Linked DNA regions of Elephas maximus indicus. The main gene of each other region encodes a partner of the protein of the gene in region 2 in a complex. Links are inferred from orthologs where the notes say so. Each region holds a gene or a part of one and is shown on either strand. Other genes may lie near its edges.

Region 1 (7,603 bases), on a different chromosome or scaffold from region 2:
AGGCAAGTTAATTACAGATGTAACGGGGACAGAAAAAAGCAGAATGAGAAAGGTGCAGCCACTGCTTTACGATTAACGATGTATTGCAAAACAGCTCTTTAAGGTGTTAAAAAGCAAACCTGTCACTCTGAGGACTAAGGTGCCCCTGACCCAAGCCATGGAATTTTCATTTGCTTCATATGCACATGAAAGCTGGACAATGAATAAGGAAGACTGAAGAAAAATTGATGCATTTGAATTATGGTGTCCTTGAAGAATATTGACTATACCACGGACTGCCAAAAGAATGAACAAATCTGTCTCGGAAGAAGTACAGCCAGAATGCTCCTTAGAAGCCAGGATGGTGAGATTTTGTCTCACGTACATTGGACATGTTATCAGGAGGGACCAGTCCCTGGAGAAAGACATCATGTTTGGTAAAGAAGAGGGTGAGCGAAAAAGAGGAAGACCCTCCATGAGATGGACGGATACAGTGGCTCCAAAAATGGGGTTAAACACAGCAACAATTGTGAGGATGGAGCAGGACCAGACAGTTTTTCATTCTGTTGTACATACGGTTGTTATGAGCTGGAACTTACCTCATGGCAGCTAACAATAACAACAACAACAGGGGTAGCCTCCTGGAATGGGGGCCATTTAAACTGAGACCAGACTAAGGAAGGATCCAGCCCCATAAAGATCCGGTGGGAAAGTTACCAGGCGTAGACTATAACAACGCAAAGTCCCAGAGATGGGCACAAACTTGGCCTGAGGAAAAAAGAGGTGCCAGCACGACTGAAGCAGAGCTCAATGAGGGGGAGCAGAGAAGGAAGTAGGTAGCAGACGCAGAGGAGGTGTGCAACGTGGTGGAGGCCCAGGGCTTTGCATGTTATTGTAAGGACAAGGGGAAGACACTAGAGACTGTCTTAGAGACACCGGTCTCTAGGTCAGCCCTTTAGAGGGCTCTTTAATATCATGCTACATCCACGTAGATACCCGGGTGGCATGATGGTTAGGAGCTTGGCTGTTAACCAAAAGGTTGGCAGTTCAAATCCACCAGGTGCTTACTGGAAACCCTATGGGGCAGCTCTGCCCTGTCCTGTAGGGTTGCTATGAGTCAGAATCCACTCGACAGCAATGGGTTTGGTGTGTTTTTTTTAATACCCAAGTGTTTACATTTAGGATGTCTGAATTAATAGATCACAGTTAATGTCATTAAGTCCAGAATTTATTCCAGGACATTCTCTCTAGCACCTGCACAGAATCTGGCACAGGGAAAACGTTCGATAAACATTTGTAAAGCTGAGGTATTGCTAAATTTTAAACTTTACAGTTACCTTGATACAGCAGTTACTCGCACAGAAAGGATATTTCACTTATAAAAGGGGGGCCCTTTGCCAGTGAGTTTATGGTAATGGGGGTGGAGCAATTCAAAAAAGGAGGGTGAGAATGGCTGCACAACTTGAGGAATGTAACCAATGTCACTGAAGTGTACATACAGAAACTGTTGAATTGGTGTATGTTATGTATATTCTCAACAACAACAAATAAAATTTAAAAAAAGATTTGGAAATAAATAAAATTGTCAATACTCAGAGATTGAAATGGGGGGAGCCCTTTGATGATAACTTGAGGACTCTCTACAGGTTAAAAGGAACGCTTAAATGAAGAAGAATGTGAGCTTGGAGCTCTAAGACCTAACGTAGGCAGACATACATCTCTCACTTTCTTCACTTCTCCTAACAGCTATTGGAAGACTTTCCTAAGGCCCAGCATGTTTGAGGATGCTCTTCTCCTACCTTTATCTCTCTTTAAGAACTCCAGCAAAGTTCGGATGGCAGCCACTGCTGAGGCCATGTCAGGATCTTCTTTGATCTGAGACTTGAAGTATTCAATTAACTCTGGGAAAGGAGAAAAAAAGAGACATGGTTAATGACTATTAACCTTAGGAAAAAGGAGCCCTGGTGGCACAGTGGTTAAGCACTCAATTGGTAACCAAAAAGTTAGTGGTCCAAACCCAGTCAGCAGCTCCACAGGAGAAAGACCTGGTGATACGCTTCCCTAAAGATAATGGCATTGGGAACCCTATGGGGCAGTTCTGCTCTGTCACTTAGGGTCGCTAGGAGTCGGAATCGTCTCGACAGCACCTAACGATAACAACAGTAGGAAACAAAACAAGGAATACTTTCTTTTCAAGGTTTTGGCTGTAAGTGAACTTCAGGGGGACGACAAATGTTAATGGGAACGGAAATGACGCCACTTTACTGTTCGTAAGCTTTCTTCCTGTCTCATTTTGAAAAGGCCGTCCATGTTCAATGGTATAAAATTCAAGCTCTGCTAAATGATAGTGAAAAGTCATTCTCCTATCCTTAATCCCAAGTCCTGAGAGGATTTAGAATCAACCACCATTATCAGTTTCTTCTACATCCTTTCAAGGAGAGTCTTGGCTAATTCAAGCGCACGCACACATATACACATCTGTGTACGCAGAATTCCACCACCCTTTGTTTTTTTACATGATAGGTACTTTGTACATTAGCTTGCTCCTTGTTTTTTACTTAAATGTCTTCAAAACCATATTAGAGGAGTATGTCGGCTATGCCTTACTTTTTAGATTGTAACAGATCCACTAGGGCAGGGAGTCTTATTGCTATTTCACATACGAAGAAGGCGAGTCTTCGAAGGCCTGCACGCTCGTCCAAAGTCTCACTTTTTTGGAGAATGGACATGGGAAGAAGCGCGCGGGGGAGGGCAGTGCCTGTGGACACTCTCAGGGCCCATCCCCCACCTATAGGAGCAGCGAGGGAGATGTAGCTTTTACTAGAAGAAGGACACGCTGCAGAGCTGCCTGAGCTTGGAAAGCGACCTCTCTTCTCTCCGTGTGCAGCCTGGGCGTGCGAGATGGGAGACCCCGACCCGCTTTAGGCGCAGTGGCCCCAGCCTGCCTCGCCCCACTTTACCCTTTTCGTCCATGGTGCGCTCCGGACGGCGAAGCTCGGGAAGATCAGAAGCACCCGCGCTGCCTCGACAGATGCCGCGACTGTGCCGGCTCGAAGCCGCTGAGACTGACAGCGCGCGCCGCAGTTCTGCAGCCCATTTCCGGCGCGCCGGGAGCGTGTCTACGAGTACGGCGCGGCCCCGTCCAAACCTGTCCCGACGTCACTGGGCAGCGCCGGAAGTCGGTCCGCGGATTCCCGACGGTCGCCCGATTGCTGCTGGCTCTGCGCGGAGGCCGCCATGGTCTCAGACGGTGAGAGTTGCGCCGGGGTTGGGCGGACTCTGCCCGGCCAGGACCGGCGAAATGGAGTGTAGTTTTTCGGCTGGATGGGACGTATTTGGTGTTTAGAGGAGTAGCGAATGCATTCATTCATTCGTTCACTCAGTAAATGTGGAGCGGGTACTGTGTGCTAGGCATTATTTTATGCGCTGAGGATACAGCAGAGACCATGATAGACAAGGTCTCTGCTCTCATGGCATTGCATTCTAGTGGGCGAGACAGACAATGAGCAGGAAAACAAAAATAATCTCAAGGGATGACAAGAGCCACGAAGACAATATGATAGGATGATGTGGTAGCTTGTGCTTAGTGGAGGGAGCAAGAGCTACTTCAGTCCAGGGAAGATCGTAATGTTTAAACTAAGACTTGGGTCGACCATGCGAAGTTCCTGGGGGAGTGCATTGTAAGTGCAAAGGCCTTGTGGCAGGTCAAGACGCCACATTACTGAGAAGACAGAACTGGGGAACCTGGTGATGGCGAAGGTGGGGAGGCATTTATTCATACAGTAAACTACAAGCTGTGAAGCATGATGTCTTGAGGGAAGAAAAAGGAGGCCAGGATGGCTGGAGCAGACTGAACTAGAAGGACAGTAGAAGAGGATGAGACCAGAGAGCTGCCAGGTGCTGCATCATGCAGGGCCGCATAGCTGGAGCTTTAAGTGTGATGCATACTTAAGAAATATTATGATCTAATTTACATTTTTGAAAGATCAGTTTGCTGTGTGGAAAATGGACTGTGTGAGCAAGAGAAGAAATAGGAAGATCCATTCTGAGGGTGTAAAAATGGTCCATGCTTCTCTTATCTGTTTTAATATACACGACATCCCTTTGAGGGGGGCAGACCTGGCTTTTCTTTTCTTGTGCTTTAAGTGAAAGTTTACAAATCAAGTCAGTCTCTCATATAAAAACTTACACACAGTTTGCTGTGTAACCCTAGCCACTCTCCCCCTAATATAACAGCACACTCCTCCTCTCCACCCTGTATTCCCCATGTCCATTCACCCAACTCCTGTCCCCCCTGCTTTCTCATCTTGCCATCAGACAGGAGATGCCCACATGGTCTCGTGTCTACGTGAGCCAAGAAGCTCACCCCTCGCCAGTATCATTTTGTCTATATAGTCCACTCCAATCCTTGTCTGAAGAGTTGGCTTTGGGAATGATTCCAGTCTTGGGCTAACAGAGAGTCTGGGGGCCATGACCTCTGGGGTCCCTCCAGTCTTAGACCATAAGTCTGGTCTTTTTGAGGTCTGCATCCCACTGTTCTCCTGCTCCATCAGGGATTCTCTTTTGTGTTCCCTGTCAGGGCAGTGGGCAGACCTGGCTTTGTTGTCCCTATTTACAGATGAGGAGGTCGAGACCCAAAGGACGTTCACAGGGACATTTTGGATGTACTGATACACATAACTCTCCACACAGGCAACATACTCTCTTTTTCTCAGGCTGTCTTGGTAACATCAGAGAACTAACGGTTCTGAGAATTGTGAGGTGGGGCCTGATGGGGAATACAGGTAAAGGTTTGAGGGCTTATGGGTAGAGAAGTGAGGGCCTGTGGGAGAGACAGTTATTAAAGCCCTGCTTCTTTTTTTTCTGTGCTAGCCACTTTGTGATTTACACTTATTACGTCATTTGTCCCAAGACTAGCAAAAATCATTCTTTAAGGCCTCCACAGTTTAGTGAGCAGGGCTGGGAAGAGAGATGAGAAGCACACAACTAACTAACATGAGGTAGTGAGAGCTAAATGTCATTAGAGGAGTGTCCATTGGTGCAGCTAGTGGTCAGAGTCAGGCTGTGGGGCAATGAAAAACTACAGTCTTTAGAGTCAAGGAGATCTGTCTTTACAGCAAGGTCTTGGCTTTGCCACTTGCCAGCAGGACATGTGACTTTGGGCAACTTGCTCTTATTTGCAAAATGAGAATACTGTATTTCATGTAATCTAAGATGACATGCTGTTATTTTATGTACCTCTGAAGAGACAAAACATGCTGTCAATTTTAATAGTAAGGCACCACCCTGAGTTTAATGAAAAAAAAAAAAGGAATGCCTTGTAATTGATGAAAGACAGGATTCATAAATATAAAAATAAAAGGAAAAAGGAATGCTTATAACTGATGAAAGACAGCATTCATATGTCCCTTGTTGGGTTGCTTTTAGTATAAAACAGGATTATGGGATTATATATGCCAGTGCTTGGTGCAGAGAAGGCTGGCATTCCCTCTCACCTGAGAGGAGGGAGTCAGGATCTCTTGCTGGAAGACCTGTGGAAGGCTTTGGGAAGAAAGAGGTAACATTGCTTTTGGTCCTTGAATTTGTCAGACCTTTTACTCCTGTGACACAAGAAAGAACGCAGTGGCTTGGAGGAGGAAAGGGGGAAGGTACAATCACATGGAAAGCAGGCGAGAGCGTGCTCAGGACCCACTAAGTTTTAAATCTTTAAAAGAATTTGGCCTTCTGTTAATATGGCTGTGGGATGATAAACATATAAAAGCATGTGTTGGTGCTTGCTCTAAATTGTACTAATGGGGAATGTTAGCGGTGATTCACTCTCATGAGACTAATGTATTTTTTTTTGTTGTTGTTAACATTTTCAGAAGATGAATTGAATCTTCTAGTGATCATAGTTGACACCAACCCAATTTGGTGGGGAAAGCAAGCATTAAAAGAATCTCAGGTAAGACTGCTTAAGGAAGCCTTTGGATGATTCTGGTTTAACTGAGAACGTGTTTATATTGCTTTGTAACAAAAAACAGCTTTACAAAAACCAAACCCAGTGCCGTTGAGTCGATTCCGACTCACAACGACCTTATAGGACAGAGTAGGACTGCTCCATAGAGTTTCCATGGAGCGCCTGGCAGATTCGAACTGCCAACCCTTTGGTTAGCAGCCGTGGCAGTTAACCACTACGCCACCAGGGTTTCCATAAAACAGCTTTATGAAGGTATAATTTACATACCATAAAATTCCCCCATGATAACGTACAAGTGATTTTTTTAGTACATTCATAAAGTTGTGTAATCGATCACCAGCAGAATCCCTCTTTAGAACATTTCTGTCTTCCTGCAGAGTTCCACCCTGTCTGTGTGCAGTCAGTCTCTGTCCCCCGCCCCCCAAGTTGCTGGCAGCCACTGACCTGCTGCTTGAGTCTGTGTTGTCTTTTCTGAACATTTCATATATTGATTGTGTATATAGGTTTTTTTTGGTTAACTCTTTCAATTGTTTTTCTATTGTCTATTTAATTCTGCTCTAATTTTTATTATTTGCTTTAGATTTTTTCTTAACTTCTGTTTTTGGAAGAGATCGTGTAGAATTGGTGTTAAATCTCCAGGCCCAGATAGTTTCCCTGGAGAATTCTGCCAAACAGTTAAAGAAGTAACACCAATTCCATGAAATCTTTTCCAGAAAACAGAAGAAGGAACACTTCCAAACTCATTTTATGAGATCAGTATTACCTTTACACCAAAACCAGGTAAAGACAGTACAAAAAAAGAAAACTCTCATGAGCATAGATGCAAAAAATCTTCAAAATAATTAGCAAATCAAATCCAGTAATATATACAAAGAACTACTTGCCACGACCAAAAAAAAACCCCAAACCAAATCCTTTGCCATCGAGACAGTTCCGACTTATAGCGACCCTATAGGACAGAGTAGAATGGCCCTATAGGGTTTCCAAGGCTGTAGTCTTTATGGGAGCAGAAGGCACATAACTGTCTCGAGGAGTGGCTGGTGGGTTTGCGCTGTTTACCTTTCGGTTCGCAGCTGAGTGCTTAACCACTGTGCCACCAAAGCAAACTAAGAATAGAAGGGAACTTCCTCATCTTGATAAAAAGCATGCACCAAAAATACTTGGACAGTTAACATTACAATTGTGAGAATGTGAGCTCCACGAGAGAAGGGATATCTGCATGTTTAGCAGATGACTGATTTGAAAAGTTTTAGAAATCACCAATGTAATCATGTATTATACGGTATCATGTATGTATTAAGTATCTATTCCATGTGTAGCGACAATTTGCTAGTGATACCTGCACAGAAGACATGAGACATTTGTTATTCTCTAAATGCTACGCGAAAAATATTTTTGGGATATTGTTCTGAATATCTGACGTAAGTAAAACGAGGACTGTAGTTTTCAAGGGTTTTTGCTAATGGCTTTGCAGGAGGGGAGCTCCTGAGCACATTTTTAGCAATGAGTAATTGTGATTGCCTGTTAGTCATTTCAAGGCCTGACATACGTATTTGGATCGCTAATCTATCTTTGAAATGTCTTCGGTTTTCCAACAGTTCACTTTATCAAAATGCATAGATGCTGTGATGGTGTTGGGAAATTCCCATTTATTCATGAATCGTT
Region 2 (7,807 bases):
CTCTAGCTGTACTCCTTCCAAGACAAGTTTGTTCATTCTTTTGGCAGTCCATGGTATATTCAATATTCTTCACCAACACCATAATGCTGGCTTGGGTCAGGTGTACCTTAGTCCTCAAGTGATATCTTTGCTTTTTAACACTTTAAAGAGGTCTTTTGCAGCAGGTTTGCCCAATGCAATACATTGTTTAATTTCTTGACCATGGGTGTTGATTGTGGATTCAAGTAAAATGAAATCCTTAACAACTTCAATCTTTTCTCTGTTTATCATGATGTTGTTTATTGGTCCAGTTGTGAGAATTTTTGTTTTATGTTGAGGCATAATCCATACTGAAGCCTGTTGAATTCGATCTTTATCAGTAAGTGCTTCAAGTCTTCTTCATTTTCAGCAAGCAAGGTTGTCTTACCTGCATATGGTAGGTTGTTAATGCATCTTCCCCCAATCCTGATGCCCCGTTCTTCTTCATATAGTCCATCTTCTCAGACTATTTGCTCAGCATACAGATTGAATAAGTATGGTGAAAGGACACAACCCTGACACACACCTTTCCTGACTTTAAATCACATGGTATCCCCTTGTTCTGTTCCAACGACTGCCTCTTGGTCTATGTACAGGTTCCTTATGAGCACAATTAAGAGCTCTGGAATTCCCATTCTTTGCAATGTTACCTGTAGTTTGTTATGATCCATGCAATCAAATAAAACACAGCTAGACATCTTTCTGGTATTCTCTGCTTTCAGCCAAGATCCGACTGACATCAGCAATGATGTCCCTGTTTCCCTGTTCTCTTCCGAATCCTGCTTAAATTTCTGTCAGTTCCATGTCAATGTACTGCTGCAACCACTTTTGAATGATCTTCAGCCAAATTTTACTTGCATATGATATTGTTTGATAATGTCTACATTCTGTTGGATCACCTTTCTTTGGAATGGACACAAATATGGATCTCTTCCAATCAATTGGTCAAGCAGCCATCCTCCAAATTTCTTGGCACAGACAAGTGAGCACTTCTGCGCTGCATCCATTTGTTGAGACATCTCAGTTGGTATCCCGTCAATTCCTGGAGCCTTGTTTTTCGCCAATGCCTTCAGTGCAGCTTGGACTTCTCCCTTCACCACTATCAGTTCTTGATCATATACTAGCTCCTGAAATGGTTGAATGTCAACCAATTCTTTTTGGCACAATGACTCTGTGTATTCCTTCCATCTTCTTTTGATGCTTCCTGCACTGTTCAGCATTTTGCCCCTAGAATTCTTCACTATTGCAATTTGAGGCTTGAATTTTTTCTTCAGTTCTTTCAGCTTGAGAAATGCCAAGTGTGTTTTTCCCTTTTGGTTTTCTAACTCCAGGTCTTTGTGTATTTCACTATAATACTTTACTTTGTCTTCTCCAGACACTCTTTGAAACCTTCTGTTCAGCTCTTTTACTTCATCATTTCTTCCTTTCGCTTTAGCTATTCTACATTCAAGAAGAAGCTTCGGAGTCTCTTCTAACATCCAATTTGGTCTTTTCTTTCTTTCCTGTCTTTTTAATGACCTCTTGATTTCTTCATGTATAATGTTCTTGATGTCATTCCACGACTGGTCTGGTCTTCAATCATTAGTGTTCAACGCATCAAATTTATTCCCGAACGGTCTCTAAATTCAGTGGGATATACTCAAGGTCGTACTTTGCTCTCATGGACTTGTTCTAATTTTCTTCAGCTTCAACATGAGTTTGCATATGAGCAATTGATGATCTGTTCTGCAGTTGGCTCTTGGCCTTGTTCTGACTGATGATATTGAACTTTTCCATCATCTGTTTCCACAGATGTAGTCGGTTTCATTCCTGTGTATTCCAACTGGTGAGGTTCACATATGTAATCACTGTTTATGTTGGTGAAAAAAGCTATTTGCAATGAATAAGTCATCGGTCTTGCAAAATTCTATCATGTGATCTCCAGCATCGTTTCTATCACCAAAGCCATATTTTCCAACTACCAATCTTTGTTTCCAATTTTCACATTCTAATCACCAGTAATTATCAGTGCATTTCCATTGCATGTTCCATCGATTTCAGACTGCAAAAGTTGGTAAAAATCTTCAATTTCTTCATCTTTGGCCTTAGTGGTTGGTAAGTAAATTGGAATAATAGTCATATTAACTGGTCTTCCTTGTAGGTGTATGGATGTTATCCTATCACTGACAGTGTTGTACTTCAGGATAGATCTTGAAATGTTCTTTTCCACAATAAATGCTACACCATTCCTCTTCAATTTGTCATTCCCAGGATAGACCACATGACTGTCTGATTCAAAATGACCAATACCAGTCCATTTCAGCTCATTAATGCTGAGAATATCAATCTTTATGCATTCTATTTCATTTTTGACGACTTTCAATTTTCTCAGATTCATACTTTGTGCATTCAATGTTGCGATTATTAATGAAAGTTTGCCACTGTTTCTTCTCATTTTGAGTCATGCCACATCAGCAAATGAGGTCCTGAAAGCTTGACTTCATCCTCATTATTAAAGTCAACTCTACTTTGAGGAGGCAGCTCTTCCCATGTCATATTTTGAGTGTTTTCCAACCTGAGGGGCTCACCTTTCTGCACTATATCAGATAATGTGCCATTGCTTTTTTGTAAGGTTTCACTAGCCAGTTTTTTCAGAAGTAGGTCCTTCTTCCTAGTCTGTCTTAGTCTGGAAGCTCTGCTGAAACCTGTCTACCATATAACAGTATATAGTATATGATTTATTTCTCTGCGTTGACTTTGTATCCTGTGCCCCTGCTAAACTCACCTATTAGTTCTAGGAGTTTTTTTTGTTTGTTGTTTTTGGTGATTCCTTGAGTTTTTCTATGGAGGTAACCATGTCTTCTGTGAATAGGGACGGTTTTCTTTCTTTCTTTCCAGACTGTGTGTCTTTTATTTCTTTTCACTAGCTAGAACTTTTGCCATAATGTCAAATAGGAATGGTGAGCATGGATGTCTTTGCCTTGTTCCTGTTCTTGTTGTCGTTAGGTGCCATAGAGTCTGTTCTGACTCATAGTGACCACATAGAACAGAATAAAACTGCCCCATAGGGTTTCCAAGGAGCGGCTGGTGAATTCAAACTACTGACCTTTTGGTTAGCAGCCGAGTTCTTAAGCACTATGCCACCAGGGCTCCTGTTCTTAATCTTAGGGAAAAAGTATTCAGCCTTTCACCTTTAAGTATGATGTTAGGTGTAGAATTTTGTATATGCCCTTTATTGAGATGAGGAAATTCTCTTCTATTCCTAGTTTCCTGAGAATTTATATCATGGATGGTTGTTAAAATTTTGTCAAATGCTGTCTTCTGTATCAGCCGATATGATCATGTGCAGCTTTACTTCTTTAGACTGTTACTATGGTGGATTACACTGATTTTCAAATGTTGAATCAGCTTTGCATTCGTATGTTTAAAGTCCATTTGGTAATGATGTATTATTCTTTTTACATAATGATGCATTATTCTTTTTATGTATTTTACATATTACTCTATTCAATTTGCTAATAATGGGCTGAGGATTTGTGTGTCCGTGTTTGTAGTTTTCTTTTCTTGTACTATCTTTGTCTGCTTTTGGTACTGGCGTAATCTTTTTAAAAAGAGTCCTGGTGTGCAGTGGTTAAGTGTTTGACTGCTAACAGAAATGTTGGTTGGAACCCACCAGCTGCTCTGTGGAAGAAAGATGTGGCAGTCAAATTACAGCCTTGGAAGCCCTATAGGGCAGTTCTACTCTCTCCTACTGGGTCACTATGAGTTGGAATCGATTCCAAGGCACCCAACAAAAACAACGTAATCTGTTTGGAAGGCAACTTGTCAATTGTAACTTAAGTCTTTAAAAATTTGTGTGCCCAAGGATTCCACTTTTAAGAATTTATCTTAAGAAAATAGAGATTCCTACGACACAGACTTAGGATTCAGACCTAGATTTGAATATTAACCCATCACTTTACTAATTACTTAGATTCAGTGAGTCTGTTTCCTAATCCATAAAATGGGGATAAGAGAACCTACTTCACAGAGTTGCTGCATTAAAAGAGACAGTTCAGTGCCCACATCTAGTAAAGCTTGGAAAAAATGGCAGCTCTTAAGTACTATGTTATACTGCCCATCCTCTGTAGGACAAGTCTGTCCAAATCAGAAAACATCATCTTTGCCCCACATCAGCCCCCACTTTTCAGAATCAACTCGACGGCAACGGGTTTGATGTTTTGTTTTTTTGTCACTTTTTAGTGAGTAGTCTCCTCATTCCTGATTCCTCTGTTTTGTATTAGATGTACTAAGCGTCGGGGATATAAAGACAAAAAAGATACGGTTTCTGTCCTCAGAGAGCTGAATCTCTTAGAGACACACACACAAACTAACCAGTATCATGCATTATAACACTATAATGGGGCGTCTGCCCAAGTGGCAGTGGTCTTAGAACGCATAAAAGGTCGGTGTCAGGAGCTGGAGGGCCAGGAAGGAGGGCGGCAACTTCTCCTGCGTAGTCTCAGGGCGGGAGGTAGGGGGAGCTCAGAGTCTTGCTGTTCCCATAGCAACGGGACTTGTATTCTTCAGGCCTCACACGTCACCTTTGTTCAGCGTCTGTAAATAGCGCCTGAGGAGCCTGGAAAAGCCACTTCAGGCCCTCTGGTCCTGGGGTCGCGCAGATCCTTTGCTGTTACCGAACGAGTCCCGCATCTCTGATTGGCTCAGGAGGACGAGGGGCGGGAGCAGGCAGCTGGGGGCGTGGCCTTCGTTCCCCCAAACTCGAGTTCGTCTCCCAGAGCGGAAGCCGACCTCTCCCGCCCCGGAAGTGCAAGCTCTGGCGTCTTGCCGATGTGGATTTTGTGGGTGAGGGCGTCGCTTTCGAGATGCCAGGCGCCGCGGCGAAGGTCTCGGAGTTGTCCGAGAGGATCGAGAGCTTCGTGGAAACCCTGAAGCGGGGCGGCGGGCGGCGCAGCTCCGAGGACATGGCTCGGGAGACCCTAGGACTACTACGGCGGATCATCACAGACCACCCCTGGGGCAACGCGGGTGAGGCAGGCCTAGCCCCACCCGCGACCCTGCCCGTTTTCGATCGGATTCCTGAGGTTGAGGATCGCCTTGGCCTCAACGCGCTCTTGCTCGCTCGCTCACTCTCTCTCTCGTGCACCGTAGGGGAGCTGATGGAGCTAATCCGCAGAGAGGGCCAGAGAATGACAGCGGCGCAGCCCTCAGAGACTACAGTGGGCAACATGGTGCGGAGAGTGCTGAAGATCATTCGGGAGGAGTATGGCAGGTCAGACCCACGTCCCGGGCTCCGAGGTGGGCCCAGTGACGCCCCTCTCCCTGCTTGGAGCCGCCTGCTACCTCCCTAACTGCACCTCCTCTCCACCTCCATCTTTGGATCTTGTTGACCCCATAGACTCCACGGACGCAGCGATGAGAGCGATCAGCAGGAGTCCCTGCACAAGCTCTTGACATCCGGAGGCCTGAGTGAGGATTTCAGCTTCTATTATGCCCAACTCCAGTCCAATATCATCGAGGCAATTAATGAGCTGCTGGTGGAGCTGGGTAAGAGTTCTTTTGATCCCTAGGCAGACAGGACAGGTAGCCGGCAGGTGAGGGAACAGAAGACCCTGGAAGTTGTCCATCAACAGAGATGAGAAACAACCAGTCATCTGGTTCTCAGGTTTGTTCTTCATCCTTTATAAACTACAAATCCATTGCTGGCAGAGAGTTTTCTTAAGGTAGGGTTTTGTTCTCATTTTAAAGAAAATGAACTCCCTAAAACCACAGTTGGTAGACCCTCCTGCATTAAACTTCCTCCTGAATTGTTACACACCACCTCCATCCCTCTTACTTGCCTTTGTGACTCATGAAACCTGCAGATGTTCATTACAGAGTTCCTCCAGGGGAGAAAGAAGCTGGAGTTCTGTCTGTGCCCTAAGGTGCAGCTCCCAAATTCCTCCTGTTTTTCTTCCCTGGCCTCTACTTCAGGTGGAGGTGTTGTGGCCACCTTTTGGAAGAAGAGCTCTTTAAGGGGGAAGCTCTGTTTACCCTACCTTGGGCACTTGAGGATTTTCCAGACTCGATCGTTTCTTGCCTGAATTCATTGTCTTCAAAATCAGTTGCAAGTGTTGTCTGAACTGTCATGGCAGAGGTTTTGATGTGGAGGTGGTTGATGAGCAAAGGTGCTGCACGGAAAAAGGACAGGCTGAGAACTTGGGAGGCAGAAAACCCCAAAGAAGTGGGACTTTTAAGAAACTCTGATATTTTACTTGAAGTCCATTAACCCTGTGGTAGGTACCAGGGTCTGCTAGGTGGATAGTCTGTGTGAGGGGCAAACTGCCCTTTCCATATTCTGTCATGTCTGTCTGTGACCTGGCATGGCAATTTCATGTTTGCTTTGCAAAACTGGCTGTGTTTGCAGAAGGGACAACGGAGAACATTGCAGCCCAGGCTCTGGAGCATATCCACTCCAATGAGGTGATCATGACCATTGGCTACTCCCGAACAGTAGAGGCCTTCCTCAAAGAGGCTGCCCGAAAGCGGAAATTCCATGTCATTGTGGCAGAGTGTGCTCCTTTCTGCCAGGTAGGGAACTGCTGGAGTTGATAAGAAAAAGGAAATTGAGGCGGGACTAAAGGAGGGGTGGGTGGGGTCCATGCCAACTTTCAAATGATAAGCAAGACATTGAGACATTGACAAGATAGAGTGAAACAGTAAAAGGATTTCAAGTTGTTCATCCTGTGAACATCTTTAAACATTGGTTTAAGAAAGTTTGGTGAACTGCTGGGTCCAAGAAAAGATAAATACTGGTCCTTTTAGGAATCAAAATGGGATACATTAAGTTCGAGATGACTGATGTTTGGTCTAACCTCACTCAATCCCTAGGTAAATAATAGATCTCAAAAAAGAAAATAATATGTAAAGATGCAGGATGTTGTAAAATAACAAGTCAGGATCTATCCTGTCAGCTATTAGCTATGCCTGATTATGCAAGCAAGTAGCATTTCCAGTTTCGTGGCTGCTCTAGGGTATTAGACATTTATTAGCTTACCCTGGGCTCCCCTGCACCTTACCAGAGAATACTTAGGATAGGCAGAAAATGAGTTTGTCTGTTGGGAACTGTGTTCTGGATCTGCCCAGTATCACAGAAGTCCCCAGATCCAGTTACGTTTAAGAGCTCTTTCACTGTGTCTCACTCTTTCTCCCTGCATCAGCCTTTCCTTCCTTTTGCAGGGTCATGAAATGGCCATCAATTTGTCCAAAGCAGGTATTGAGACAACTGTCATGACTGATGCTGCCATTTTTGCTGTTATGTCAAGAGTCAACAAGGTAAGTATATTTGGAGTCCTTTATTTGTATCATCGTTCCTCACTTGTGGTAGTCTCTAAATTTGGTTAAAGTACTGAATAAAATGCAGTAGAACTAAAGCTAAGTGTGTCAACTGCGAAGGATTGGTGAGAAGCTTCCTACCCTATGCTCAGAGAGCCTGGCAGTGGTAGACGGCGAATGACAAAGGCTCCTGACTCCTCAGGAAGTGTGGTATATAGGTTTTCAGAAAAGACAGGGCTAAGAGCGGTAGGTATTGCAGTTTCCTTGTCCATACTTTGTTCATTCTTTTCTTGGGAACCTACTTTCAAGCTAGAACCTTTGGTACTGAGCCTAAAATCCCTTTCCTTCTTATGGCCTATGACCCCTTAGGACACCAGGACCTGAGCACTCAGCCTGTTGTGCCCTGTGGCCCCTTTAAGGCTTACCCCCAGGATGACTCACATTTTTCTTCCTGTTCCAAAGGTAATCACTGGCACAAAGACCATCCTGGCCAACG

The links.
Region 1: the proteins of EIF2B2 (region 2) and EIF2B1 are in contact, whole or in part, in a cryo-EM structure (PDB 7F64), measured with the Homo sapiens proteins. The link is inferred for Elephas maximus indicus from reciprocal best matches to the Homo sapiens genes EIF2B2 and EIF2B1. Residues at the interface, in NP_055054.1 of Homo sapiens: Glu107, Ser108, Leu109, His110, Leu112, Leu113, Thr114, Ser115, Asn242, Phe278, Asn280, Glu281, Glu282, Ser334, Tyr337, Arg338; in NP_001405.1 of Homo sapiens: Leu71, Arg74, Phe75, Leu78, Arg96, Leu99, Phe100, Arg103, Lys110, Thr117, Phe118, Lys120, Ser232, Phe235, Leu283, Asp287, Leu288, Val290, Thr292, Ser294, Ala295, Asp298, Glu299, Leu300, Lys302, Leu303.

Annotation. Positions count from the first base shown.
Region 1 is NC_064840.1:6,740,375-6,747,977, reverse strand, and holds the start of EIF2B1 (translation initiation factor eIF-2B subunit alpha), read right to left. Parts: upstream 3,100-7,603; 5' UTR 2,953-3,099; coding exon 2,940-2,952; intron 1,881-2,939; coding exon 1,779-1,880; intron 1-1,778. Other genes in the region: GTF2H3 (general transcription factor IIH subunit 3), read left to right, coding at 3,217-3,229, 5,844-5,923, 7,537-7,603.
Region 2 is NC_064828.1:87,718,068-87,725,874, forward strand, and holds the start of EIF2B2 (translation initiation factor eIF-2B subunit beta), read left to right. Parts: upstream 1-4,752; 5' UTR 4,753-4,862; coding exon 4,863-5,025; intron 5,026-5,148; coding exon 5,149-5,269; intron 5,270-5,395; coding exon 5,396-5,544; intron 5,545-6,403; coding exon 6,404-6,567; intron 6,568-7,215; coding exon 7,216-7,311; intron 7,312-7,773; coding exon 7,774-7,807. UniProt on the Homo sapiens protein: Acts as a component of the translation initiation factor 2B (eIF2B) complex, which catalyzes the exchange of GDP for GTP on eukaryotic initiation factor 2 (eIF2) gamma subunit.